Linked DNA regions of Callithrix jacchus. The protein of the gene in region 4 interacts with the protein of the main gene of each other region in a pairwise test. Links are inferred from orthologs where the notes say so. Each region holds a gene or a part of one and is shown on either strand. Other genes may lie near its edges.

Region 1 (3,766 bases), on a different chromosome or scaffold from region 4:
GACAACAGAGTGCTTTATTTTCCTCTGTTTAAAGAAGGTGGCAATTCTACAGAACCCCTTCATAGGAAAACATCAGCCACAGAGCCGATATTTGGGACCAACACAGACTCTCAGAAGGAACTTAGTTATCTGATAACATCTTATTTTCAATATTGTTCCCTTACAAAGGCTGTTTTCTGAGCCCCTGTAATGTCTTTTAATTCATTTACTTGGCCACAGCCAAGGAGGCTTCCACATTTCAAGTACTTTCAGGTTTCAGCTTAATATACTCAGATAGACCACTGTTTTCAGGTGCCCTTCAGAAAAAAGAAAGACTTCCCCAGGGAGGCATATCACAATTTAAGTTCAAAACTGGGGGCAGAAGGGAGCCTTACCTTCGATTTTGGCATACTCTGAGAGCCGAGAATAGTTGACTAACGCAGCCTGTTCCAGACATTTACGGATGACTGTTTTTACCTCCTCTTGTGGCACTGGGGTAACAATATCTTTCATCAAAACCTTCGAGTAGAAAAAAGAAGGATTATTAAGAAGGTTCAAGCAAACGTGTCACTCATCCACATTTCTTAGAAGTGTGCAAGTTTAAAATCAGTTCTTTGTGACTTAATACAGATTGAGAGCCATGCTTAAAGAGAAAGCACCAGAACTGCAAAGCATTGGCAAAGGCTGTCCATGAATCAGGGAAGGGCTAGGAACATATCTTCAGTATATCCTATTTGGGAGTTTGAAGATAGAATATCATGAGTTTTGGCAGTTTCCTCCCTTCTATTCTGATATTTGTTGAATGGTAAACAAATCCTATAAAAATTACAACTAGGTCATTCAACCAAAACATTTCATTACAATTATGTTTATGTCTCTTTATATATACATGATCTATCTTTTACTTTTATTCTTACCCTTTCCAAGAGTGAGAGAGTAGCTTTCAAAGCACCTTCAGGTCGACCAAATGGAAAGCAATACCTAAAAAAGACAAAATTCTTCAGGTTGCCTAAATTATTACATTTTAGCATGAAATATGCTGCAATTTGATTCCTATAGCAACTCTCTCTGAGGAATGGAAAATGCTTTTTATTTTGTCACGTTGTGTTATGTTAATCTGAATTCACACCATATATGTGTGTATATAATGTATATATGTGTATGTGTGAATAATGACTAAAGAGGGACTCTGCAAATGTCTGTAGCAGAAAAGAATATTCAGAGTGGTGACATAAGGCTCTGTTTAGATTTCTATTGTGAAGGAGAACTATTCGTTAGCTCAAATGTGACCTTATATGTTATTATTGAGACTGGCGTTAAAAAAGTATTAGTTAGAATTGGCTCAAATTCAAATACATTTACATAAGTCCCCAAAAGATTGATATATGGAATAGAAAAGTGGATTTAGAGCAAATTATTGATTCTGCTAGCTGTCCTTCCCTGCTTACGGTTTGCTACTGTTATGGATCTTCTGCTACCGGTAATGCACTTTACATATAATGTAAGATCAATAAAGATTTATCCAGGAGGATTTTGATGGCACAGAAAAAACTATGTCAGATACCACTATGAGTTCCAGTGACTGGTTTCAGGTTGTCACTGGCCCTTCAGGACACTGCACATGGGACAGAGAGACTAGCATGGATACTTAAACACAGACTATCTTATGTAAGCATTCCACTTCCACTTGCTGGCTGGCTTGCTTTGGGCAAGTTCCTTAACCTCTCTTAGTCTCGTTTTATTCCTGGTTTAAATGGGGATTATGATAACTACTTTACAAAGCTGTTCTGACATGGGCTAACACTTCTCCAGCCTCCAGTTGTGTATCTGGCATATAGGAAGTATTTAATCAATAGGGACCATTAGAAATGCTAGTATTATTTTTCAGTTTCTATTTCAGGATCTCTGGTCCAGAACCACTAGGACAGCATTAAAAACACCTAATTTGCTCCAAGGGAGAAGTGGGCAATGTGGTGTAAGGCTCAAGTGCAGAATCTGCTGGCTCTTTCGAGTATGCAGGGAAGTTTCAATCCACCCAGGTGGATCCAAGGTTCGTTCTTTCCCTGTGCAGCCAGCTAGTCGTGTTTCTGAGGTAGGGGAGAAAACGAAGACTCTCCTAGGAGTACCACTGCCTTCCTTTCTTGTTCACTATGTTCTGATTTGCAAGAATTTTTGTTTTTTAACTTAGGAACTTTGAAGAAACTTCAAATCCAACTTTCTATAATAGATTGATGACCAGGGTCAGCTCGAACATGGCAGGATTTGTTCTTTAAGTGGAAATAACATAAACTTAAGAATGCAAACTTTTCCTGGTTATTGCGGAAGCAAGGCTGATTGGTTTGCTTCTTCTACTCAGTTATTTCCAAATATCCAACTTATCCTCTGGTAGATTTACAGTTTTGGAACATTAAGCCCTCTATCTTTTTCCACTCTCATCTCCTAATCAAAGCCCTCAAGCCCCAGATCCTTACCTAAAATGTGTAATCTGATTTTCCAGCAGAACTCGGAGTCTCTCTTTGATTTCTTCGAAACGCTCCTTTTCTTCAACAGTCACAGTTCCGATTCCGTCAGGCCTGAAAGAAGACATGTCATGAAATGACGGGAACTTCATATGCTGACACCATCAAATCAAATCTCTAGCAGGAGGAAACTGTCTATTTTAGAAGGAACAACTACAATGATAGATGTGACCTCAGGAGGAGCCCAGCTATTCAGGGCTGGCCTCCAAAAGAGCTGGGTTGTGTTTGGGTTATCATTTTGGAGACATGCAGAGCTGTAGCTCACTTTTTGTGACATGGTAAAATGTGCAAACTGGTGGCTTGCTGCTTAAGTACAGCCCCTGAATTTGTTCTGTTTGGCTCACAGCTTCTTAAGAAATTTGAACTACTTGGCAACATTTTTTTAAAATCAGGGAAGTTTTAGAATACAACTCTGATTTCTGTTTTTTTTTCTTGAAAATATGAAACAGCTGGCATTATTAATTGCTGGCTAACAGCTTCTTCCTTATCTGGGGCAAGCACTCACCTGGTCCACATTCCTAAATTGTATTACCTATCTCTTTTATAGGCACTTGGCTTTGGGATCCCTGAATTATTTACACAAATTCCTATGAAAATCAGATGCCTTGTAAGTGTTTGTCATTCCCAGTGTTAAACATCTTACATTGCTCGATTTCCTGCTTATAACTACAGATGTTTGGATTTATTTAAGTGATCTTGTATTCATTGAAGAACAAACCATGTTTTCCAATTTTTAGTAAACTATTACTCATTGTAATAAAAAGAACTCCAGTTTAAATAAGTGATTTCAGTTTGATCATCATATTCTCATGGTTCTGTGTCGCCTTAGGTGTGTACATATATCCCCTATTTGTTATGGATCATTCAAGTTGAAAATCTAAAGGGAGGCTATATATTTATAGCTCCAATTTATCTGTTTCAAACTAGATGCAGGATAATCTGACCCATTCAAAGTCTTCAGCTTCCCAGATCTCATAGTGACTTGTTTTGACTACTGGCTGAGCCAGTTTGCAGATTGGTGTGTCACCATCAAACTTCTATTGGAACATTCTTCAGTTTGCAAATGCAAGTCATCTTGAGACCAAACAAATGGTCTTATTTATAGGCCTTCTCAAGGATCCAGCGTAAGTTGGGAAAATCCTTTATACCAGACTAGTCTGACTGTACAAAAGACTTGGCAAATGACAGCAATGTACCTCCTGGGAGGGGTTAATCAGTCAGCTTTCCTTCTTTTTTGATAATAAAAGTACCCTATTTGAAAAATGAGA
Region 2 (4,238 bases), about 9.1 Mb from region 4:
CCCGAGGCAGCCGACACAGTGGGGGACGTCCGGCCCCGTCCCTACAGGCCCCGCTGTGCCCTCAGCAGCCTGAGCTCACCCTCCAGGAACCACCTCCCTGTTAGATGTCAGGCCCAGAGGCCTCGCCTGGGTCCACAGGTCCACATAGGCCTGGAGCTGGAACGCCCATGTCCTCATGCCAGGTCCCTTCTGCCCCTGAAGCTCCTCTGACCCAGAGCACACACCTCAGAACAACAGAAAGCAGCCTGGGCCACTCTCCAGAGACGACACCTGCCTCCCAAGAGGCAGGAGAAGGAGCTGCGCCTGGGCTCTGCAGACACGGCCACCCAGCCACTCACACACAGGGCACAGCCACCCCCACTCATCTTAGCGGCCACAGCACCCCCGAAGGCACCATCACGTCATGCGTGGCCAGCCCAAGCAGCCGTGGCGGAACTGTCGCCTAGGAGTTCAGCGGAGAAGCAACGTGCCCCAGGCCATGGCCGCGGGGAGTCCTGGCAAAGGAAACGGGCGAGGGCCCACTCCGGGACAGCGCCCTACCCTGCGCGGAAAGTCCAGGAGCAGCAAAGGGCACCTGCGAGGGGCTGTGGCTGGGCCCGGAGGATAGTCACTGCAACTCTCCCTGCTTCCCGCCCCCAGCCAGGCCTGAGCCCTGAAGCAGGGGTGGGGGCCGCCCAGCACAGCCCTGCTAGGGACAGGGAGACAGCTGGCACCTCCAACCTGTGTTGTGGGTACGCTGGCCCTGCCAGCAGGATGGCAGAGCACATTTGCAACACACAGGGGACCCGGGGTACAGGGAGTGGGAAAACGAGGCAGGCCCTGGAGGACAGGCTTTCCTCGGCAAGCAGGGCCGGCCTTGCAGGTGGAAGCCCGCCTGCTCTCGGCAACAAGAGAGGCCGTGCCTGCCAAGGGCATATGTTACATCCACGCTACCTCGCATCCTCAGTGCCCACTATACCGGGGATGGGGGAGGAAGAGCTGCGGGGAGAGGTCCAGGACCCTCTCTCCTGGCCTGAGGCTGGGGGCCAGGCGACAGAGCCCAGAGGCTGCAGACGCTGGCTGGACCCCAACTCAGGGACCCCACAAGCCATTCTCCACACCACAAGGTCTCCCTCCCACCACTGCACCCTGGTGTAGATGGGGAAACCGAGGCCTGAGGCGCTATATGAACTTGCCCTTGGAAAGGGACACTGTGGTGGAGTGGCAAACAGGGGTCAAACTCAGCTCTCTGGATGCCCCACTGGGCCTGATGTCCCGTCTCCGCCAGGCCCCTCCCGAAGGTATGACCTGAGCAGAAAACTGAAACTCACCCAGGCCTCAGACAAGTACCCCGGCCTGGGCCCAGCTGGCTGATGGGTGCCCCAGTAACTGGGCCTGGGCCCCTGGGCAGTCGAGGCCCTGGCATCTCCTGGGTCAGCCCTGAATCCAACAGTCCATCAACAAACAAACATTTGCCGAGGATGAGGAAGCGGCAGCTCCAAGCAGCAGGGCGTGCGGGACACAGAGGCACAGGATAGGAGCAGGGGGTCCCCGACACCAGAGGGCTGTGAGGCAAGGCAACAGAGTACCTCCAGGCACAGGGAACAGGACTCCTGGGGAACAAGCAGGGACAGCAAGGGCGGGGGATGGAGACGGTATGCTGGGCAGCAAGCCACGTCAGAAGCTCCCCAAGGACTGCAGGCTCTGCAGCCTCCTTGTCTCTGTCTCCAGGTCCCGCGTGCCATCCTGGTAGCTGCCCACTCGAACACTCCAAACCCACAGCTGACCACACCCCCAAACCCCTGGCATCTCATCTTGGTCACTCCTTCACCCCACTCCCAGGCTCCTGTGGCTTCTCAGGCCTGTTCTGCAGTGAGCTCCTATACATCCCACAATGCCCCATCTTGTGACACCCACTTTTGCCAGTCTTCCCTGTCTGCTCCAGCTGTGTCTGGGGTCTCCCCACTAGCACATGTGAAATCCATCTGCTAGAGGGTGTATGTAAAGAGGGGTGGGCTGCTGGCATGAGATCACTAGAACTTAGGAGGGAACAGGTCTGGAAAAAGAAGCAGAAGGTAACTGCCCCAGGTCCAAAGGACCTGGACCTGAACAGGAACCTGCCCCAGCGGGACAGAGGAGTCTGACAGCCATCCAGCCTCCTCTGCACCCCACTGAGCATGGACGGTGGGCAAGGCAGAAGGGCCTGCACAGGGTTGGAAGGGGTGAGGCTGTGGCCCCAGCTCCCATCCCACCAGTTTCTGGCCAGGCCCCCTCGGCCAGCACCCTCTCCATGGGCTGCAGGGCCAAATGAGGAGGAGGACTCAGGGGCTGGGGGGGCCTGGGCTCACGCAGCTCTGCAGCTCCAAGGCAAACATACCCTGTGCCCATGTGGTACGGATTCCCCCCCACCCCCAAAACTCAGGCCTGAAGCAGGCACCAGGCCAAGCCAAGCAGCCCTGCCCTGCCCTGCCCTCAGGAGCCCTTGGGCAGTGCCCCGGGCCGCCAGCGTGCCAGGCACTGGAACAACCCAGCGTCCTCACCGCCTTCCAGGAAAGAGAGGCTGGCAGCAGCTCCCCTGCCTGCAAGGGCCTGCACCAGGAAACCACTGTGATGGCTGGCCCTGCACGGGGCCTCATCCTCCCAGCCTCCCTAGGCCAGGCCCTCCAAGCTATGGGAAGACATGGGACCCCAGATACTCACCCTAGGCCAGCCAGGAGCCCCGGGGGGGGGGCAGCCTGTCCCAGCCAACAGGCCTGAGTACAGGCACTCAGACCCCGCGGCCACCCCCGTCCCTCCCTCCCCAGGCCCAGCCCCGGCACTGACCTCGTTTGTGCAGCCAACCCTCCTTCACAATAGCCACGTCGCTCATGGTGCCCGGTGCCCGAGGCTCCCTCTACGCTCACGCACTCCTCTCAGGCCGCTGATCCCCGAGCCCAGCTGACCTGACCACAGCCTCTGGGAGAAGTAAAGGGAGCTGTGTATGAGGCCGTGACTGGACAAGGACAGCTCCTCGCCCCGAATGAGCCCGAGACCCACCGCATGCGCCTGAGCTCCACCACACCTGCCTTCCCAGGGGAGCTGCCATCCCTTTAGGCTCCCTGACCCCCATGTGCCGGCCTGCCTTACCTCTCCCCAAAACACTCAGGCTGCCAAGTAATTGAACAGTTTCCTGGCTCAGAGCCGGCGGCCCCTGCCGCTGTGGCCACCCCAACAGCCAGGCCCTGAGAGCTGCTGCCTTGCTCACCCCCCTTTCCCACCTCCCCCTGCCTTTAGACAAATCACCTCTTTCCCCAAAAGGCCTTCCCAGCCTCCCTAATATGCTGCACCAGCTGACAGGCTGCCTCCTCCAGGCAGCCCCTTTCACCATCTTGGCCCAGGCTGGCTCGGCCTTCCCTAAGCCCCTGGTGACAGATGGCCCCATTTGCTCTCCCTGTCTGTGGTGTTCCTCCCCAAGGATCCTGGGACAGAGCACAGGGCTCCTCCCTGCTCCCCAGACTAGGAAAGCAAAGAAACTCAGGCATGATGAAGGCAGGACCAGGATGCAGGCTGCAGGCGCAAACGGGAGCCCAGAGCCCTCCGGGGAGATCCCAAAATCCTCCTGGGAGAAACCCCAGGCCCCTCCTAAACCACAGCGCCCCTGTCGGTCTGAATCTGGTTCATTCATTTGACCAACGTGTACCAGGCGTTTTGCCAGGCCCACTGCCGGGTGCTGAAGACAGAGAGGTTCAGACAAGTCTGTCAGTGAGGAGCGCCCAGTCCAGGGTGCTTACAGACCCGTAATTACAGCAGTTGGGAGGCAGCAAGTAAGTGGAGGAGCACTGGACAGTGCCCTCCAGCAGTGCCCACCCTGAAGTGCCCACCAGCCAGCCCTCACCTGAGCACACTTAGGCCATTGATCCTGTACGGCTTCCTCATTTCCCCTCTGATGGATGAACTCCTAGGCATCCCTCAAAACCCAGTTCCCATATCACCAACTCCAGGCATCCCCAGAAACAGCATGTGGCATGCTCTTCCTGGGACCAGTCCTCTGCTACCCTTCCAGAGAGACCTTCCTGAGGGGAGGAGGGTCCTCTCTGGGACCTCTAGGCCAGGCAGAGACCCCTGGCGACCTCTCTCCCTGCCGCCAGGCCACCTTTCTGGCCTCCTGAGGCACGGGCTGGAAACCCAGAGGGTTGCTTTGCACTGAGGGTCTCAAGCGAAATTTAGAATGGCGGGAAGGCCCACTGCTTTCTGTGTAATGCCAAGACAGGGAAAACCAC
Region 3 (3,766 bases), on a different chromosome or scaffold from region 4:
AATATAAAAAATCAGCTGGACATGGTGGTGGGCGCCTGTAGTCTCTGCTACTTGGGAAGCTGAGGCAGGAGAATTGCTTGAACCCAGCGGGCAGACATTGCAACGAGCCAAGATTGTGCCACTGCACTCCAGCCTGGGTGACAGAGCGAGACTCTGTCTCAAAAAAAAAAAAAAAAAAAAAAAGGAAAAGAAGCGGGCAAAGCAATTGCAGGGAGGCTCATTTAGCTGCTCCTGGAAACAGCTAATGAAGGCACCCAGAAACACGGCAAAGCACGTCTTCTTCCCTTTCTTCTCTCAGGCTAGCAGTCAAGAGCTGTTTTTCAGTGTGGTCAAACTGTAATACCCCAGGGGAAAAGGGCATTAGTTTGGAATACATTATACTCTTAGAGCGTCCTCTGTTAGCATCCCTTCTGAACTTGCTTGGAAAAGCAGAAATCACCATGCTCTGAATATCCGACTCACCTGGCTACCTTAATCATGTTGGGTTTGTATTTCTCTATACTGCTGAGGAGTGCGTTCATGGTCCTCCCAGTTCCAACAACATCCTTTGTAGAAAGGACAGATACATTCAACAAAATGCATTTGAGCAGCATCACAGACTTTTCATCCAGGGAGATACTCCTGATTAATAATGCATTGTAATTAAAAATGCCATCCAATTTGGAGTCAAAGTAGTAGGAGGAGTTGGTTATGTTTTATTTAGACAAGCACTTCTTTCTGGAAGTTGAGTTTGGGGAATCTACTGGAGATTCTTTCCTCCTTGAATCCTTTAGCTGTGTGGTAGGGCCAAATTTAGCCTTTGGACAGCATGAGGGACTCCTCGTTGAGTATATTTGGACTTGTATATGCGCATTCAGGGACTAAATTTGTCCCTGAGGTTGTGTAACACAATACAAGGCGCATGAATTTTCATGGATATGTACATCTGAATACACTGAATGGATAAATGCCTCCCCCTTGTCCTCCTCCACTCAATGGGGGATTCTATGGCTGGGAAGTGAGAGGTGTCTGGACAGCAGCTGCTGACAGCCTGTGAATTCTGAGGGTCCACGGCTGCAGCGAGCTCAGGCTCATCTCTGCTGATGAGCTGCTGCACAATTAGAGGAGAATGGGCAGCGGCGATTTATTGTCCTGAGGACAGGAATCAGCTGTCGCGAGCTGATTATCAAAACAACAGGTCTGAATGTAGCCAGGGCTGGGCAATTCATTTGGTGAGAGGGTCTACTCTGTGGGTTATATGGAGCAAGAATTGCAGATACACATGGCACACACAGGCAATTGTGTAACAAAAGCTTGAAAACAGTTCCCCTGAATTTTTTGCAGTCTGATGAGACAAGTGCGCTCCTGAAGGAAATGTAGCCATTTGCTGTATTGGTCCACTACTGCCACAGGGTTCCCAAGTTGTCTTTTCTGTCTCTCTTTTTAAATAGAAAGACAAAAGAAAAAAAAAACACACACAAAAAACTATAGTTTTCCCCATAGCTTGCCATTTTAATTGATTGTGTTTATGATTTTGATGCTGAAAGTATTAGAGAATTCTCAAAATCATTAGACGTCCTTAGCAAAAACACTGAATTCAGGGTAAATGGAGTTTTAACCTTGGTTTTACTGTGAAATGAACTTGGTTTGGTGAGCTAGTTTCTTCTTCTTTAAACTTGTCTGATTCACAAAGAGGTGTAAAAATCAACACAGAGATATGTGGAACTGGATACAAAAAAGGATGAATTCCTCCACGAGCATTGTTGCAAAGCTTTTATTCTACATTATTTGAAACCCGGGATGCTAGTTGGCCCCTATTCATTAAACTTGGAGAGTGTGCACCCAGTGGGAACTCAAGAAATCCTTGGTCAATTTGATAACAAGGCTTACAGTTTACTCGCTGTTAGATTCCTTCAACCTCCAAGTGTGGAAAAGGAAATGCCAGCTTACCTCAACAATGAGAACATTCTGAAATAAACAAAACCCATGTTTTAGAATGTGATGCCAATCTGACTCAGGATACATACACATATTTTTTTTTTGCTTAAAGTTAGAATTTCACAATTTGCTTAAATGGTCCTTCCCCATCCATCTAATTCAAAGGACTAAAGGTGATCTAGGTTTTCCAGATTCATTTGAACAGGTTCCCTGGAATTAGTTGGTACAACATTAGTATCTATATTCAGGTTAGAAGCAAGCTTATCTTAGACCTGTCTGACGAGCTATCCATAAAGTCATCCCATCTCAATAATTCCTCCAAGGGCCCCCACCCCCAGCATTCCCTTGGGAGGCAAAGCTTGTTAAGAGTTTACCAGGAAAACAAAGCAACATGGACTGCTTCACTAATGGAGAGAGACTGTGCTTGGTAAACGCATCATGGGTTTGGCTGTGACAGCCTTACTCTTGCGCAGCCACCAAAATCCCTGGGGACTCAGGATTTGCTCTTGGATTGCCAACCTAGATGAAGAGGGTAGGCCAGAGAAAAGGCTTCGAGGTGCCTGGTCTGTATTTTTAGTGGGAGGGTTAGATTCCTTGCAATAAGCTCTCAAAGCATTCCTCTACTTCTCCCCTAAGAACACTGTGATATGGTTAGGATCTGTGTCCCTGCCCAAACCTCACGTTGAAATGTAATCCTCAGTGCTAGAGGTGGGGCCTCTGGTGGGAGGTGACCGGATCACGTGGGCAGGTCTCTTGAATGGTTTAGCACCATGCCCCTGGGTGTTGTCCTGATAGTGAGTTGCCCTGAAATTTGGCTGTTTAAAGGTGTGTGACACCACCCCTCTTTCTCTTGCTCCATATCTGTCTCCAGACCTGTGAAGTGCTGCTCTCCCTTTGCTTTGCCATGATTTTTTTTGTTTTGTTTTTGAGACAGGGTACCACTCTGTCATCCAGGCTGGAGTGCAGTAGAGAGCAATCTCGGCTCACTGTAACATCCGCTTCCTGAGTTCAAGCGATTCTCCCACCTCAGCCTCCCCAGTAGCTGGGATTATGGGTATCCACCACCACGCCTGGCTAATTTTTGTATTTTTAGTGGAGATGGGGTTTTATCAAGTTGGCCAGGCTGGTCTTGAACCCCTGACCTCAAGTGATCTGCCCACCTCAGCCTCCCAAAGTGCTGGGATTACAAGCAAGAGCCTCCACACCCAGCTGCCTTCTGCCATAATTTTAAGTTTCCTGAAGCCTCCCCAGAAGCAGGACAGATGTCGATATCACGCTTCCTATACATCTGCAGAACTGTGAGCCCATTACATCTTTTTCTTTAGAAATTACCCAGTCTCAGGTATTTCTTTACATTGTGAGGCTGGACTGATACACGCTGATTGTATTGCATTGGAATTTCTTGTTTGATCTCTGTCTTCCCCACTAGATTCTAATCTCCACGAGGTGGGGGAGCATGTTTACCTTGATTCCTACGACATTGCCAGAAACTAGCATAATGCCTGCATATAGATGCTTAATAAATAGTTGTTGAATAAAGCAATAATAACTAATTAAACTTATTAATGAGTTTAAACTGACCGAGTAATTGGATTAGGAGTGACCTGTCAATGCTGCCCCACCAAATTAAAATATGACTGTTAATATGGCATCCCAATTTACTAAATGGTGAGACTATTCTTTCAATGTAATGGTGTTTTTCTTTCTTTAGATGATCTTTCATTTAACCCTATGATTTGTATAATACTTTAAGAATCATGATTGGGTGCAGTGGCTCACGCCTGTAATCCCAGCATTTTGGGAGGTGAAGTGGGTGGATCACCTGAGGGCAGGAGTTTGAGACCAGCCT
Region 4 (4,563 bases):
AGGATAGAGGGCTTATGGTCAGAAGACCACTTCCTCAGAACGCAATAACACCATCTAATATCTGGCTTGGTCGATATAATTTAAGAAAGCGACTGACAAAGTGCTGGCCGCAACTTGTGAAGCCCTGTACAGATGCATGCAGCTGCGCTAAGGTGGCCATATGCATCTGCGAAGCTCCTGGATCCCAGTGGTAAGGGAGAGACATGAGTGCCTCCAGGAAGCCTCTCCCATCCCAGGACCCTCAGAAGGCAATAGTCGGGGAGGGGTTAGCACTGCCCTCACGGAGAAGGGGTGCTCTTTCCTTCTGATACAGCCACTGTGGACTAAGAGGGGTCAGGTCCCAGTGGAACTCACCATGCCACACTCAGTCATCTGGCAGCTGCTCGAGAAGCATGTCCTCCAGGCCTTCAATCTGAGAGGCAGAGAGAGAGAGGGCACTGATCAGCCGGAGCCCTTCTCTCCCTCCATTTCTCACTCCTGTGCCTTCCCCTAGCTGGGAATAACAGGTGGGAACCCGAGTGTGAGGATTTCAGGGGCTCTTGGAGACTGCCCTCCTCCCTGTAGCCTTCAGCCTGTGACTGCCCACCAAAGGGGGCTTCCTGCGGCCAGGCTGGGGGTTGGCAGGGAATAGAGGGAGGGTTCTGTTAGAGACCTCAGAGGAGCTATCTTCTCTGTGGTAAAGTCTTTTAGAAATCCACAGTTGTACATTTCCCCCATTTTTTAATGCTTTTGGCACTGGGATGGAGGGAAGATAAACCACTGAGGCCAGGCACTGAGGAGGGGAAACCCAAGATCGCCCCATAGATCCCTGGGAGAAACACACTTGCCTTGACGTGGTACACTATGCGCCAGAAACCGGAGTCTGAGGATCGGTATCGTCCGTCAGGGTAGAGCTGCCACATGAGAGGCAGCAGGCTTGGGCCTATCTGGGTGGGGGTCATAGGCTTCCCCAGGAGGGTGACTTCCTGACGAAAGAACACCTGTAATTTATCCTCCTTCTGAGAAGAAGAAAAGGACAGGGCACACCTTCAGGATCCGCTTGCCAGGGCTCCTCCAGACACAGAAAACCAGAGTCCTTCCTGCCAGCCACCCACCCAGCTGGGGAGGGGTCTGAGTGTGAAATGCTGGTCATCACTGTCCCCTGAACCTCACTTCCTTAGCCATGCATGATCCTCACAGGGACTCTGGCTGGGCCAGGACCACCAGCATGCACACGTGTCTAGCCACCTAGAAAGGGCCATGAAAGGCACACTTTTTTCTGGCGAGTTGCAGTGACTCACACTTGTAATCCCAGTGCTTTGGAAGGCTGAGGTAGGAGGATCACTTGAGGCCAGGAGTTTGAGACTAGCCTGGGTGACAGAGCAAGATCCCGTCTCTACAAAAAAAAGAAAAAAAAAAAAAAGACGAAAGAAAAAAAAGAGAAAAAGAATACTGGCTTTTTCAAATGTGTGAGGCAAACCCTGCCCCACAGTTTGCTAGTGGGTTACTTTTTGTGTGCCATTTATCATGATTATGTGAAAAACTGTCTAGTTTGTGATTTTGGTGTCACGTTGAAGAAGAGATTTCTCAACCAGACATTGTAAAAAAGAAATTCACTGAATCTTTAAATTATTTTTTCAAATTTTGACTTAAGTAAACATTTGACATGATTTTTAAAGAAAAATGTATATTAAAAAAATTTAAATGCCAATAGAAGTGCAAATTTTGGTGGTTGAAGAGCCTCGAATTCCAGCCCCGTTACCTACTAGCAGTCCTACCTTGGGCACATGTATATTTTTGTGCTTCAGTTTCCCATCTGTAGAGACACAGTCAACACTCAATAACTCTTGTTTGCTATTGTATTACATACATGTTCTAATATATTTTTAAATTTGTATACTTTCTGCAGTGTATGTTTGGAAAGAGTTTGAATATTTTTGACTATTTCATTGAGTAAATCCAAATACTTGTAAAAGAGTTATAGTTCTCTAATAAAAACGTAACATGACCTAAAGACGCATTTTAAGGTATCACATATGAAACAAAGCCAATACTGATTCAATACTGGTGCTTAGACTCGTTAAATTTGTTCTTTTCTTTTTTTTTTTTTAATTGAGACGGAGTTTCACTCTTGTTACCCAGGCTGGAGTGCAATGGCGCGATCCCGGCTCACCGCAACCTCCGTCTCCTGGGTTCAGGCAATTCTCCTGCCTCAGCCTCCTGAGTAGCTGGGATTACAGGCGCGTGCCACCATGCCCAGCTAATTTTTTTGTATTTTTAGTAGAGACAAGGTTTCACCATGTTGACCAGGGTGCTATCGATCTCTGGACCTCGTGATCCACCCGCCTCGGCCTCCCAAAGTGCTGGGATTACAGACGTGAGCCACCGCGCCCGGCCTAAATTTGTTCTTCTTAATAAAGCACAGAGGAAATAGGAAATACCTCACACTCCAGCGCAGTGGTTGCTATGACCCTAAGCTGTTGAAAGTTCTTTATAAAATACAGATTTCTGGGACCCGCCTAAGATGATTCCGATGATTGGCCATATGAATGAGTCACTTACTTTAGAAATACCCATTTTAAGGATTAGGACCCCGAAGCCCAGAAACGTCCTGCTGTAGTCAACATTATAGTCACACTCACAGGTCCCATCCTTTGGTCGACATTCCTTTGTGGTTTTCCCACCCTTCTTCGCGGCCTGGTGAACTCCTGTTCAAAAGCCCAGAACCCGGCTCAAAGTGGCTTCATCTGTGGGGAGCCTCCCTGCCCCAAAGTGGGTGCTCCTCTAGGCCTCGCCCGTCCTGGGGCCTCCCAAGCTCCTGGGGCTGCCCCTGCTGCCTCACCATCCGCTCCAAAGCGGGCTGTACCTTGATGACTAAGGGCAGCCAGGTGCGCTGGTTCTCATCCAAATACACGAACTTCTCCCAGATCCACAGGCGGTCCGGGTGGTCGGTGACTGACTCCCTGCGTAACTGCTCCTGGGCCATGGCTCCCTCGGATTCTCTAAAAAGCAAGAGCCAGAGTCTCTCCAGGTAGCTCGCTGGTCCCTGGGCGATGGGGCCACGCTTTATAGCAAGGCAGCTTGCGGTCGCCACCCAGCGGCGGGGCGGGAGGACGGCCTTGGGGCGGGGCTCTGGGGCGGGACGACGACCTTGGCGCAGGGCGTAAGGCAGGATGGGGCGGGGCTCGTGGGGGTCGTGGTGGCAAGTGAGGGTCCCACGCAGCCTGACTTGCTCCCTGGAACGCTGGCAGCGCCTGGGAACGCAGACCTGGGCCCAGCAGGCCCGCGGCGACCCCGACCGCCGTTCTCCGCTGCTAGAGAGGCACCTGGGGTGACGGTAGCCCCTTCTTCTTCTGGGAGGCCCCGCCGCTCCCTTCGCTGCGGGACCCCGGAGTCTGGGCCTCTGCTGGGAACTCACAGTCGACACCAGGATGCCCAGAGCCGGGACCCCTTCCACATTTTCTGGGAGCAGAAGAGACCCACGCGGGCCTGAGCTAGGCCTGGGCTTTCCAAGCTTCGCTGGATCGCTCCCAGCCTGGGCCTTTAAGCGTCAGAGTACATTTCTTGGCAAAGTGCAACTCTTGACTCTCCCCCTTCGTCTTCCATACACAAAGCATGCGTTTTCTATGGCTCGGTGATGCTGTGGACATCTAATAGGTATTACAAAATGTGGTGGAGAAACATGGGTGTTTCCCTTTGGGCTTTGAATTTGCTAGTGAAAGCATAGTTCAAAATGAATACTTAAACCCCTCCTTCCACCCTAAGATCAGTGGATTTGAAAAGTACCTGGTTTATATGATCAAAACCATCTCTCTGTAAATTAGAAGCACTAAGGAAAACAATTCGCTTTATTTTGCAGTAACGCATTCCCACTGAGGCAATTAAGAAAGTAAGCATGAGAAACAGGTGAAACCAGCTCTAGCCTGATTCAAACATCACCACGGGATGGAGTTCGGTGCCTCCTTCTAGCTCTTTCCCATCTCTCTGGCTAGGCATTAATAAAATAATTTGTGATTCTTTGAAATGTCACAAAAGTGGATATGAAGAGACCTGATGAGGACACCTGATTCACCTGGCAGCCGGGTATCTGCCTCTTTGCCTGTCCAGACAACCTAATTCCCAAGAAGGGGCTGAGGTGGCCTAAGATAGCTGAGATATAAGGGAATTTACCAGGAACACAAAAATAGAAGAGAAAAGCAGAGGGAAGTTAGGGGTGGAGTGAGGGTCCTTGAGCCCAGCAAACCTTTTTTCCACTGTAGCCCTTAGTGCTGTTAATATTTAATATGCAAACTTACTGGTTTCAGACTGATTTTCCTGTGAATGGCTCTTGACTTCAGACCCAGATAGCTACAGAGCAAGATGAAAACGTCACAAGCTCTGTTGGGGAGGTCTCATCCCAGGCCACAGCTTTGAGGTAAGAAATAACAAGTCCAGTTAAAATAGTGCTGCTAAGATGGACTTTGGCCAGGGAAGGGGTCCCCAGGAGCCAATGTGGCCACTGACCCAGCCCCATCAGTGGCTCTAGGACCCAGAAGGCTACAAACAATGGAGCAAGAATCAGATCGTTGTGTCTGGGAAAGCAGA
Region 5 (3,589 bases), on a different chromosome or scaffold from region 4:
CAGAAATTAGCTGCCTTCCTTCTCCATAACTCACTGTCCCTTTTTCTCCTCTATCTTATGTCTAAACTATTTTATATCTTACAGTCTTACATCTGGATAAGAAAGACACTAACTTGGCTTACTATGCCAATACAGAGGAAATACTAAGTTCTTTAATAGGGCCTAATGGCCACATGCATTCCATCCTGAGTCTTGCCTCTTTTGAGCTTAAGCTACAGACCCTTTCAAGAAAAAAATCCCGACCAGGCACCACCGTGTGCTCAAGCCTGTAATCCCAGCACTTTGGGAGGCTGAGGCGGGTGGATCACAAGGTCAAGAGATTGAGACCATCCTGGTCAACATGGTGAAACCCCGTCTCTACTAAAAAATATACAAAAAGTTAGCTGGGCATGGTGGCGCATGCCTGTAATCCCAGCTACTCAGGAGGCTGAGGCAGGAGAATTGCCTGAACCCAAGAGGCGGAGGTTGCCGTGAGCCGAGATCGTGCCATTGCACTCCAGCCTGGGTAACAAGCGCGAAACTCCGTCTCAAAAAAAAAAAAAAATCCCACTGTCTCTCCTATAATACTGGAAGCAGTGACTTGTTACTTTCAGATAAGAAAAGGATTACAAAAAAAGTTCTCCTTTTTTTAAAATCAGAGGAAATTGAGACTAAATATAACCAAACTAATTCAAGTTCTTCATAGACATTTACTGAAATAGCTAGTATTACTTCATGTGCAGGGCACCATGCAAGGTACTTTAAATATATTGTGTTCATATAAGAAAGATATTAAGGAGATCAATCTAATTTTTCAAAAGCTAACAATACAAAATAATAGGAAAAAATCTTCAAAATGCAGAAGAAAATATTTATTCACAAATTACACAGTAAACAAACATCCATTACTCAAAACAATATACCAAATGTTGAGTACTCACTTCTCTAGAAACATATTTACTTTTCAAGAATGTTCTTTATTCTCAAAAAATACATAATTAATGTATTTTTTTGAGCGCTCTGAAACTAACCTCTCTAACCAGAGCTAACTTTCTGATGATATAACTTAGGGAAAGAATATTATTTTCAAGGCAAGTGCTAATTTCTCCCAACCCAGAAAAGAGATATGCATTCCAATAAAACAAAAGTTTTAAAAACTATCTTCATAAAAAATGTAGATCATTACTTACATGCTCCAGTAGTAGTAAGATGTTTAACACAAAGTGGGCTACTTTCATTCCTAACAAAGATAAAATTAATTTTACACCAATAATATCTTCCTGAGTGTCAGAAGTAACAGAACCCAACAGGTCTATATTATTGTACTACAATATATAGTATAAAAATAATAGTTCAGATTAGCAATGACAGTATTGGCTTGTGAATGTGATTGTGGTCTTTCAATAAAATACTTCTTTCATATAGGTTTCTCATACTCATGAGACTGTACTATAAATCACATTACATTTTCTATGTATTTTGTGCTTATTTACTCACTGGCATGCTAATAACGACTCTAATTTTTTATTTTTAGAAAGATATAATTGGCTATTTTAAATTATAATTATTTTTTATGTCACTGAGTAGTTTCAAAAAAAGTTACCTAGAAAAGTAATTCCCAATCACCAGATGGAAACATACAAGCAAGAAATAAGTTGTTTCCAGGGTTTTTAAAGCTTTGTAAAATAAAGAAAATAAAGTGTTGGTTTTGACTGAGATAATATAGCAGTACAGTTGTATTAACCTATCTGTAAAAGCCATTCATTTAAAAATACGTATTTTAAAAATGACTCATTTGTGGTAAGGATTACTTACTGTAACAATTAAAAAATAAAACCATCATTCTCATATTTATCAATACTTCACACTTCTAACAAGTACTGAAGGAGACAACTATCATTGATATACTTCAAAGTCAAAACAAAAACACAAATCAGGATTAAGAGAAACTTCAGAAAATGTTCAGAATGTACATATTTGCGTGCATTTTCAGCCAAACTTTCAAAGATTCCACATATAACCAAATGACAACTTTGAATCAAAATGAATGTCAAAAATACTCAAGCTTTCTGACAGAGTTACTCCAATGAAGCAAGGAAAAGAGCGTAAATAGTAAGAGCAGTATATTTCTCTGAGGGAGGGAAATCCCACTATCATAAAATAAAAGTTGAAACAGCATTTCAGTATCATTGGCCAAGTTATTCACTATTCAAGAATACACTTTTCAAGTTGTCTTTGAAATGTATTCATTTACATATTCAGATTAAACTAAGTTTAATAATCACAAAAACATTTTACTCAGAATTTTAACCTTGAGAAATATAAATCATAACTTATTAAAGCATACTGCAAACACTATACAAGAATCCTGCCTTTTTAGTTTTTATATGCCTCATCTGAAAAACTTATTTTACAACCAGGAGTTCTGCTATCTATCGCCAGAGTATGTGTCTCTATGTCAAAACTTCAAGTGGCAATCAAAAAGACAGATTCAAATAATCCTATGCATACTGCTTCATCGGGCTTTGATAAAAACAGAGCCATCTGGTGGTGTAGCACCATCTTCCTTTTCAGTTACAGTCTCTACAGCCCCAGAGGCAGACACAATGACCATTGTTTTATTTGCTGAAACTGTCTTCTCTTTCTCAGCAATAGCTGCACAAACAGCAACAATCTCATCACTTTCAAAATCATAGTCTGGAATTGACTTTGGTAAAAAGTGTGTTACTTCAGCTGGTGCTTCACTTTTTTTAATCCTCTGCGCTACCTTCTGCTGCTCCTGGAGCGTTCTTGCCCAAGAGAGGTCTTCCTTCCATATTTCAGGGTTCATTGGATAGATATGAAGGGCTACTTGAAAACTTCGAATTGCCTAGAAAATAAGGTCAGAGTTTTCTGTTTTGTTTTTAATCATTAGTATGTTTAATACAATCCTCTGTGTGTGTATGTATATACTGTACACATATACATCCTAATGTATTATTTTAATATACTAGAACACAAAAGATGAAAGCTAAGGTATTGCCCTAAACATTAGGAAAAAAAATTACAGAAGTGTGAAAGAAAGTGACTGATAATACGCCGATGGACTAAAAGTCCTTAAAATGGGAGTTCTCATAATAGGGCTCAGGATAAAGCAAATATATTGTCAGCTTCTGCAGACCAGTAAACACGTACATTTGGGGATTTCCTGGGCTAACCCACAATCACAACGGCACCAGGAGCGGATATCTTTGAAGTTAACAGTTTAGATCCTAACAATGTTAGCATTTATTGAATGTTTACTACATTTTAGGCACTAAAGATTTACATGTATTGGGCCAGGTGTGGTGGCCAAAATTTTTTTTTTGTAAATATAGGGTCTTGTTATGTTACCCAGGTTAGTCCAAACTCCTGGCCTCAAGCAATCCTTCTGCCTCATCCTCCCAAAGTGCTGAGATTACAGACATGAGTCAGCATTCCCAGGCCCTCAAGTGAAATTTTTAAAACCTTCAATCATCTACCTTTTGTCTAGAAATGATCACTTGTCCATCCCAATACTATAGGGATAATTATCATTACAAAAGTGAAACAATAAAAAGAATCAAATGATGCAACTAAAATTTCTAATTAA
Region 6 (2,942 bases), on a different chromosome or scaffold from region 4:
TTGTGTTCTCTCTGGAGCTCAGGGGAGGGGAAGGGCTAAGCCATGTCTAGGGTGCTGTTGGGGGCAGTGAAAAGACCACATCCTCTCCAAGAGACACTCCTCCTGGAAAGCCCCTGGAGCTTAGCTGGCTCTCATCCTGTGAAGCTGGCTCTGGCCACTAGGGGGCAGGGCCATGAACTCAGCCTGGAGGGAGCCTGCAGGGCAGCCTGCATTCAGGAGGGACAGTCACAACAGGCCACCAGGTGCAGTCAGACAAGGGAGGCAGGGAGATGGAACAGAAGACACCTGGGCTGGTTGGAAGTCAGTGCCCTTGGGTGCTGGCACCCTGCCTTCTCGGCCACCGCTAGATCAGGCATCTGAGCCTGTTGGCCATAAGGGCTGGACTATCCCTTGTAGGTGTCATAGCAGTCCCCATGGAATCCCCCACGTGTCACCAGGCAGCATAGTTCAGACAGGTTACAGGCCTGGAAGGTCCCAACAGCCCAGCTGCACATGCTCAGACACTCTGGGGCTTCCTGTTCAGTGGCACAAACTCCAGGACCCAGTGAGGGAAACAGGAACATGGCAGGCCAAGCAGTATGGCTAAATCCATTTATTCCGAAATAAAAAGCAAAATAAACAGGAGTCGCATCACCAGGGCGCCACGACCCCATCCCCGCCTCCTTCTCTGTCCTATGCTATCAATAAATAAGTTTCCCAGCCCCAAATAATTATTAGAACCTCCTCCCCATGTGCCAGCTCCAACATCTGCTAGGTATGATACAGGGGGCAGCACTACCCCCAGAATATACAAAATGTTACACAGATACAATATATACACTGGGGAAGCCGGGCCACCCCAGCAGCCCATGCCCTCACCTGTTCTACGGTTAGCCCCACTGTCCTGCCTCAGCTGCCTCTCAGTGTAAGAAGATGGGAACCCCCCTGAGGGAAAAATTGCTTTGGTGAGAATAAGGAGGCCATTAGGCCTCCTCCAAACAAGCCAATTCTATAATCGTCTGGCTTTTAAATAACAATATTCATCATCCAGAAATTTAAGGATTCAGCCCGGGCCAAGGTGGCAAAGGGTCTGCATGTTTTCTCCCCCCATTATACAAGGGTCTTATTTTGCTACTGTAAGAGTAAAGGGCAGAGACATGATGGGGTCAGAGCCTCCAGCCCTATTTCTCCAGGCTTTGCTGACAGTGGCCTATTTTTATTTTATCCCGACATTTTAATCCCGTAACTTTTTTTTTTTTTCTGAGATGGGAGTCTGGCTCTGTCACCTAGGCTGGAGTGCAGTGGCACGATCTCCACCTCCTGGGTTCAAGCGATTCTCCTGCCTCAGCCTCCCCAGTAGCTGGGATTACAGGCACACGCCACCACAACAGACTCATTTTTGTATTTTTAGTAAAGGCGGGGTTTCACCATGTTGGCCAGGCTGGCCTTCAACTCCTAACCTCAGGTGATCTACCGCCTTGGCCTCCCAAAGTGCTGGGATTACAGGCGTGAGCCACCATGCCTGGCCATTTTTTGTAACTTTTATACCATAACTTTTTTATCCCATAACTGTTAGTCCCATCACTTAATTTTTTAAAATTTAGAGGCCTGCTTTTAGATGACAGTGACCTTCACCTCATCTGCACCTGTCTACCCCCGTTAGACAGGGGTCATATGCTTGCTACTGTAAGGGTAAAGGGGTGACTGGGAAGGGATGGTAGGGACATGGTGGGGGCAGGGCCTCTAGCCCCACTTCTTCAGGCTTTGCTCATACTGGCCAGCTTTTAAATGATGGTGATCTTCACCTCATCGTTCTCATCAGCCCGGTAAAAAAAAGGAATGCAGGGGTTGCTGCCCAAGCCTGGGCGCTCCCGGGGGTTCTGCATCTCACGAAGCAGCTGCATTATCTGCTGTGCAGTGGGGTTGTCTCGAGGAGAACCCTCCCCAGTCTCTCCTTGGGCAGGCTCGCTGCCGGCGAGGCTCACCTCACAAAGATCTTTGGAGAGAGAGAGGCAGGGCTCTGAGCACCATGTGAGCCCTCCCTTGCTCCTGCCTGCCCACACCTCCCGAGGGCTCTTACTCACCACCCTGCTGGTTGGCAGACCCAAGCTCCTGGGGGGCTGGGGCCCCTGGATTGGGCTCATCTGCAGGGTGTTGGGCAGCTGCCAGGAATCTGCTATGCCACTCATTTCGGTCGTTCACAAGCCGTAACACCAGCTCCTGCAGCTCCAGCAGCTTCACCTGGAGGGAGGGGTGTTCAGCTGCCGTGCCCGTGCCTGTGCCTGTGCCCACCCCACAGAGATGTTCCACACCGTACCTTCATCTCCTCCTTGTCCTGGGCCAGCCTGCTGATATACTCCTCCTTCTCCCGGTGCCGCTCCTTCAGCACTGCCCTCTGGCTCTGGTATAGTGCGATGTACTCTCCTGCAGGAGAACAGGAGAACAGGGCTCAGATGCTGGGTTCCCTCTGATTGTTGTACAGCACCTTCTCCTGCTGTGTCCTGGCCTCCCACTCACCAATGGTGTCTGTCTCTCCAGACAGCTGGATACAGCGATGTTCCAGTTCCTCTACCCTCTCCTTCAGGTCTGCCTTCTCCTGCATGAGCTCCATAAATCGGCTCTGGAGCCAAAATAATGGGGTCACATCTCGTCAGCCACCTGCCCCACCCCCACCCTTCTTGGCCCTTGCCAGGAGAGACTCATTCACCTGTAGCTTCTCCATGGCCTCCTGTAGGGCTCGGTGGGTCTCCCCACACACAGAATCGCTCCCAGTCCCTGGGGGTGGGGCTGCCGCCTCAGGCTCCTGGGCGGAGGCCAGCAGGTGAGCCAGGTGCCGGCAGCGCACCCTTTGCTCCTTCAGCTGCCCACGTAGCTTTGCCTGCTCCTCCTCGGCACTGGCTACAGCCGAGTTGAAAAATGCCACCTGCAGGCAAGAGAGGTGCACACTTGGATGGGGATACACA
Region 7 (4,446 bases), on a different chromosome or scaffold from region 4:
GGGAGGGCAATAATTGGAGTCCTATGATAGAAAGTATCTGGGAAGAACCACCTTAGGATGTTCGAGGAGTGTCTGACATGAGATTTGAAGAAATCTAAGAAATTAGCCCTGACAAAAGCCATGGGTGGGAGGAGGGGTCACTCTAGGCAGAAGGAACATCAAAGGAAAAGACTCAAGAAATAACTTGGCATATTTGAGGAAGAGAAAGGAGGCCAATAAGGTGGGTATCTGGCAAGGAAACAAGTGGTAGGAGAAACAGGAGAGGTAGCAAGAGCCAAAACATGTAGCATCTTGCAGGCCAGGTTAAGCCAACTGGATTTTAAGCTAAGAGCAATGGGAAGCCAAGGAGAGTTTAAAATAGGAACACGGCATGATTAAAAAAAGAAAAAAAAGATTATTTGGGTTGCTGGATGGAGAACTGGGAGGCCAATAAAGAGGAAACTGCAGTCACTCAACTGAAAGGTGATGGTGGCTTGGACAGGGGCCATGGCCATGGAAATGAAGTGGACAAATTTAAGATACAGTCCGAGGCTGAACTGACTGGATTTGCTGATGGACTGATGTGTGCACATAAGAAAAAGGCAGGCTTTGCTTTATAACAAGTACTGAGACTGGAAAAACGGAGGAAAGGATAGATTTAAAGGGGAAAACCATGAGCTCCGCTTTGCCTGTGACAAACATAAGAAGCCTATCCGATATTCACGTGGGGAAGTCAGGTGGGATCCCACTGTGGAACTCCGGGTGAGACTCCGCTTAAGTGACCATTCGGGAGTCACCACACTGCATCACTCTACGTCCTGGTCCGTCTGTCTGCCTTCCTGGGACCCAAATAACTGCCTTCTCCACTTTCAGCCCTGAGCATCTGCGCTGTATCCTCTGGGCAACCCGGAGCGGAAAAACGCTACGCATGAGCTTGGGTCGGGCGAGGCTCCCGAGGAATCGCTCTGCGTGCGGAGGACAAAGGGACAGGGACAGAGCGGAGGGCCGGACGCGGCCTGCCGAGCTGCTCCCGCGGCCGCCGTCACGTCCCCGCGGCGTGGAAGACGCGCAGTAAACTGCATCCTGTCTCCACGTCTGGCCTCCCACCCCAGCCTCCCGGCCTCCTCCGCCCTGCTGCGGCGTCTCCCGCTAAGCCCGCTGGGCCTCGCTCTCACCCTCCTCCTCCTCCTCACGCCGGGCCTTGCTCTTGCCCTTGGACTTCTGGCTGCGCGGTTGGCGTCCCCGCGGCTCCCCGCCGGCCGCGCGCTTCCGAGCCATGTTGTTCTTCGGGGCAAAATCCACTTCGTGAGTGACGCACCTGGCCGCTGTGCACCAGAGCGCGGGCTCCGCCCACAGGCGGGCGCGTCTAGCCCTGTCCCTTAGTTGGAGGCCTAGCCACGCCCCCGAAGGAAGCTCCGGCGATACCCGTGGCCACCAAAAACCACAGGAAGCAGGAAGGAGAAAAACAGATTTCTCTCTACTTCCGGTGTATTATATCCTCCTGTTTCCGGAGATCCGCGTTGCTCTTGTGTTCTCGCGAGAAGCGGGAAAGAGCGCAGGGTTTGAAACATGGCGGACGACGTAGACCAGGTGAGTGTACTTTAAGGGGGTCGCTTCGAGCAGCTTCGCGTACTAGGGCTGGTTTTCCCAAACTTAGGAAAAATGGCCAGTCGTGTCTCCTCCTTCCAGGTCACCATGGTCCAATCCGCCCCGTCCTTTCCGTAACCGCCCCCTGCTCCGAATTTTGCTGCAGGCCCTGAGATCTTTTCCGGTTAGAAGCCCACCTGACTACTATTCATCACACTCTTCAATTCATTTTTTTAAATCTGTAAATTATTATCCTTGCCTGCCTCACGGAGCTGTTAGGATTCCAATAGAAAGCCTGATGATGAAGTTAGAAGTTCATATCATTACTGAGCGCAACCATTATTTATTCATTTAGCATATTTAGTGAAATTCAGCTTTGTATGGTTAGACACTATTCTAAGGGCCAGGGACACTGACATCGACATAGAAGTGATCCCTGCCATTACTTGGAGCTTATATTCGTGAGGAGAACAGATAAAAGTAAATATAAATATGTAGGAGACATAGGAACTGTGATGTGATGTGAAGGAAACAAGGAACTAGTTTGCAGAATAACAGATGGCCCTAGAAGCTTTTTCACCTTGTCTTTCTCTTCCTCAAATATCTTTGGAGATCAAGCCACAAATTCTTAAGCTTTCTACTGAAATCTCACCTCCTCAGAGAGGACTTCTCCTGCGCCAGTAGCACACGCTTTACTCTTCTTACCCTGCTTCATTTTTCTTCAGAGCGCATTATTATTTCGTATTAAATATATGCATCTGTTTTTAATGTATAACCCTTCCCACTAGAATTTAAGTGCCATAAGAGCAGGTTTTTTGTTTTGTTCTTTCTTCTGTCCTTAGGGTTTAGAACAGTGCTGGAAACACTCAACAAATATTTACTTAATGAGGCCTCTTTGAAAAGTCAATATTTAAAGCTACAGTGGGCATCGTAGACAGAGGCTTAGGTAGCAGTAGGGTTCTGTCGTGTGCATATTTTGACAGTATTTAATTATTTATTTGTATGCCTCTCCACATTACAATGAGCTCCTTGAGAGTGGAGATTGTGACTTCTATATCGTTATAATCTAACAGTTGGTTATCTGATCCTTTAACAAACACCTGTTGAACTAGGGAAGTAGGGATCAGTCGAGTCAGGGTTTTGTTTTTTCTCTCATCTGACCTTTTGAAGCTTTAGAGCCTGTTGCATTCAGTCACCTTCCTCCACTGGCCTCATGTACTTAATGAAGATCTACTTGAATAGTCTTTCTCTTAATGGCTGCAACCATTCGACCCCAAGTCATCCTAGCCCTGACCTCTAAAACCGACGTTTCCAGCAGTTCTTTAATAATACTAATAGGAACCATTTCTTTTCTTTTTCCTTTTTTTTTTTTTTGGACAGAATCTCACTCTGTCATCCAGGCTGGAGTGCAGTGGCACAATAGATCTCAGCTCACAGCAACTTCCACCTCCTCAAGCGATTCTCCTATCTCAGCCTCCCGAGTAGTTGGGACTACAGGCGCGTGCCACCATGCCTGGCTAATTTTTCTGGTTTTTTTTTTTTTTTTTTTTTTTTTTTGAGACGGAGTTTCGCTCTTGTTACCCAGGCTGGAGTGCAATGGCGCGATCTCAGCTCACCGCAACCTCCGCCTCCTGGGATCAGGCAATTCTCCTGCCTCAGCCTCCCGAGTAGCTGGGAATACAGGCACGCGCCACCATGCCTGTAAGTTTTTGTATTTTTAGTAGAGACGGGGTTTCACCATGTTGACCAGAATGGTCTCAATCTCTTGACCTCGTGATCCACCCGCCTCGGCCTCCCAAAGTGCTGGGATTACAGGCGTGAGCCACCGCTCCCGGCCAATTTTTCTGTTTTTAGTAGAGATGGGGTTTCGCCATGTTGGCCAGGCTGGTCTCAACTCCTGACCTCAGGTGATCCGCCTGTCTCAGCCTCCCAAAGTACTGGGATTCAGGCGTGAGCCACCATGCCCAGCCAGTAGGAACCGTTTATTACTATTTTCTGTTTACCTGGCACTGTTGTAAATACATTAACTACTTTAAACTTCTCAAGAACCCAGAAGGAAGGTTGTGGCCTCCTCAATTACAAATGAAGAATCAGAATTACAGATGGCATGATTTTTAATCTTAGTTCATTAGAGTCAGGTCACAGCCAGGAGTTGAACCCAGACTGCCTGACTCCAAAACCAGTGCTTTCTTTTTTCAAGACAGAGTCTCACTCTGTTGCCAAAGCTGGAGTGCAGTAGCACGATCTTGGCTCACTGCAACCTCCGACTCCTAGGCTCAAGCCATCCTCCCCCCTCAGCCTCTGAATAGCTGGGACCACAGGCATGTGCCACTGTGCCTGGCTAAGCCAGTGCTTTCAACCAGCGTTTTATACTGTCTACTAAATATATTCATCTTACTGGCCAGTTGGCAGCCTAAACTCAACCTGTGCTAAATTCATAATCTTCCCATTAACCTACACCTCTACTTAGCATTCTGACTAGTGTATGGTAGACATTGAGTGAGTGTTTTTCCAACGATTACATAATATTTGAGATAAAGCTAAAGTCCCTGAGAGCCCATACCCTGAAATTGGGTCAGGCAGTTTGATTTTGAGGGAACAAAGAATAGTCATGATTATTTTGCTGTGTAACTCCTTTTTGTGTATGTGTGTTTTAACCTACATTTATGTAGCACATATTATATGAAAGGCACTGTTCTAAGCCGTCATAGATATCACTTAAGCCTCACAACAACAGTATTAGGTAGACACTGTTATCTCCATTTTATAGCTTAGGAGACTGAAGCAGAGAAAGGTTAACTTGCTCGTGGTCACACAGCTTAACAGTGATTTAAGCAGGTCTCTATCTCTAGTACTGCCTTCCTTAACTTGTTTGTTTTA

What was found.
Region 1: the proteins of TCL1A (region 4) and CADPS interact in a two-hybrid assay, tested with the Homo sapiens proteins (3 studies listed by BioGRID and IntAct). The two-hybrid records come from large-scale screens. The link is inferred for Callithrix jacchus from reciprocal best matches to the Homo sapiens genes TCL1A and CADPS.
Region 2: the proteins of TCL1A (region 4) and AKT1 interact in binary tests that used the Homo sapiens proteins (3 or more experiments, as listed by UniProt). The link is inferred for Callithrix jacchus from reciprocal best matches to the Homo sapiens genes TCL1A and AKT1.
Region 3: the proteins of TCL1A (region 4) and PRTFDC1 interact in binary tests that used the Homo sapiens proteins (3 or more experiments, as listed by UniProt). The two-hybrid records come from large-scale screens. The link is inferred for Callithrix jacchus from reciprocal best matches to the Homo sapiens genes TCL1A and PRTFDC1.
Region 5: the proteins of TCL1A (region 4) and TTC33 interact in binary tests that used the Homo sapiens proteins (3 or more experiments, as listed by UniProt). The two-hybrid records come from large-scale screens. The link is inferred for Callithrix jacchus from reciprocal best matches to the Homo sapiens genes TCL1A and TTC33.
Region 6: the proteins of TCL1A (region 4) and GOLGA2 interact in binary tests that used the Homo sapiens proteins (3 or more experiments, as listed by UniProt). The two-hybrid records come from large-scale screens. The link is inferred for Callithrix jacchus from reciprocal best matches to the Homo sapiens genes TCL1A and GOLGA2.
Region 7: the proteins of TCL1A (region 4) and LSM3 interact in binary tests that used the Homo sapiens proteins (3 or more experiments, as listed by UniProt). The two-hybrid records come from large-scale screens. The link is inferred for Callithrix jacchus from reciprocal best matches to the Homo sapiens genes TCL1A and LSM3.

Annotation. Positions count from the first base shown.
Region 1 is NC_133516.1:44,309,843-44,313,608, forward strand, and holds part of CADPS (calcium-dependent secretion activator 1), read right to left. Parts: intron 2,553-3,766; coding exon 2,451-2,552; intron 961-2,450; coding exon 897-960; intron 499-896; coding exon 375-498; intron 1-374.
Region 2 is NC_133509.1:139,660,113-139,664,350, forward strand, and holds the start of AKT1 (RAC-alpha serine/threonine-protein kinase), read right to left. Parts: upstream 2,933-4,238; 5' UTR 2,849-2,932; coding exon 2,803-2,848; intron 1-2,802. UniProt on the Homo sapiens protein: AKT1 is one of 3 closely related serine/threonine-protein kinases (AKT1, AKT2 and AKT3) called the AKT kinase, and which regulate many processes including metabolism, proliferation, cell survival, growth and angiogenesis.
Region 3 is NC_133508.1:25,236,073-25,239,838, forward strand, and holds part of PRTFDC1 (phosphoribosyltransferase domain-containing protein 1), read right to left. Parts: intron 1,948-3,766; coding exon 1,930-1,947; intron 546-1,929; coding exon 463-545; intron 1-462. UniProt on the Homo sapiens protein: Has low, barely detectable phosphoribosyltransferase activity (in vitro). Binds GMP, IMP and alpha-D-5-phosphoribosyl 1-pyrophosphate (PRPP). Is not expected to contribute to purine metabolism or GMP salvage.
Region 4 is NC_133509.1:130,524,709-130,529,271, forward strand, and holds TCL1A (T-cell leukemia/lymphoma protein 1A), read right to left. Parts: upstream 3,030-4,563; 5' UTR 2,966-3,029; coding exon 2,822-2,965; intron 981-2,821; coding exon 828-980; intron 413-827; coding exon 365-412; 3' UTR 250-364; downstream 1-249. UniProt on the Homo sapiens protein: Enhances the phosphorylation and activation of AKT1, AKT2 and AKT3. Promotes nuclear translocation of AKT1. Enhances cell proliferation, stabilizes mitochondrial membrane potential and promotes cell survival.
Region 5 is NC_133503.1:164,859,641-164,863,229, reverse strand, and holds part of TTC33 (tetratricopeptide repeat protein 33), read right to left. Parts: intron 2,849-3,589; coding exon 2,495-2,848; 3' UTR 1-2,494.
Region 6 is NC_133502.1:176,863,080-176,866,021, forward strand, and holds the end of GOLGA2 (golgin subfamily A member 2), read right to left. Parts: intron 2,903-2,942; coding exon 2,687-2,902; intron 2,600-2,686; coding exon 2,497-2,599; intron 2,404-2,496; coding exon 2,297-2,403; intron 2,221-2,296; coding exon 2,064-2,220; intron 1,976-2,063; coding exon 1,764-1,975; 3' UTR 578-1,763; downstream 1-577. UniProt on the Homo sapiens protein: Peripheral membrane component of the cis-Golgi stack that acts as a membrane skeleton that maintains the structure of the Golgi apparatus, and as a vesicle thether that facilitates vesicle fusion to the Golgi membrane.
Region 7 is NC_133516.1:71,157,442-71,161,887, forward strand, and holds the start of LSM3 (U6 snRNA-associated Sm-like protein LSm3), read left to right. Parts: upstream 1-1,507; 5' UTR 1,508-1,548; coding exon 1,549-1,569; intron 1,570-4,446. Other genes in the region: XPC (DNA repair protein complementing XP-C cells), read right to left, coding at 1,155-1,257. UniProt on the Homo sapiens protein: Plays a role in pre-mRNA splicing as component of the U4/U6-U5 tri-snRNP complex that is involved in spliceosome assembly, and as component of the precatalytic spliceosome (spliceosome B complex).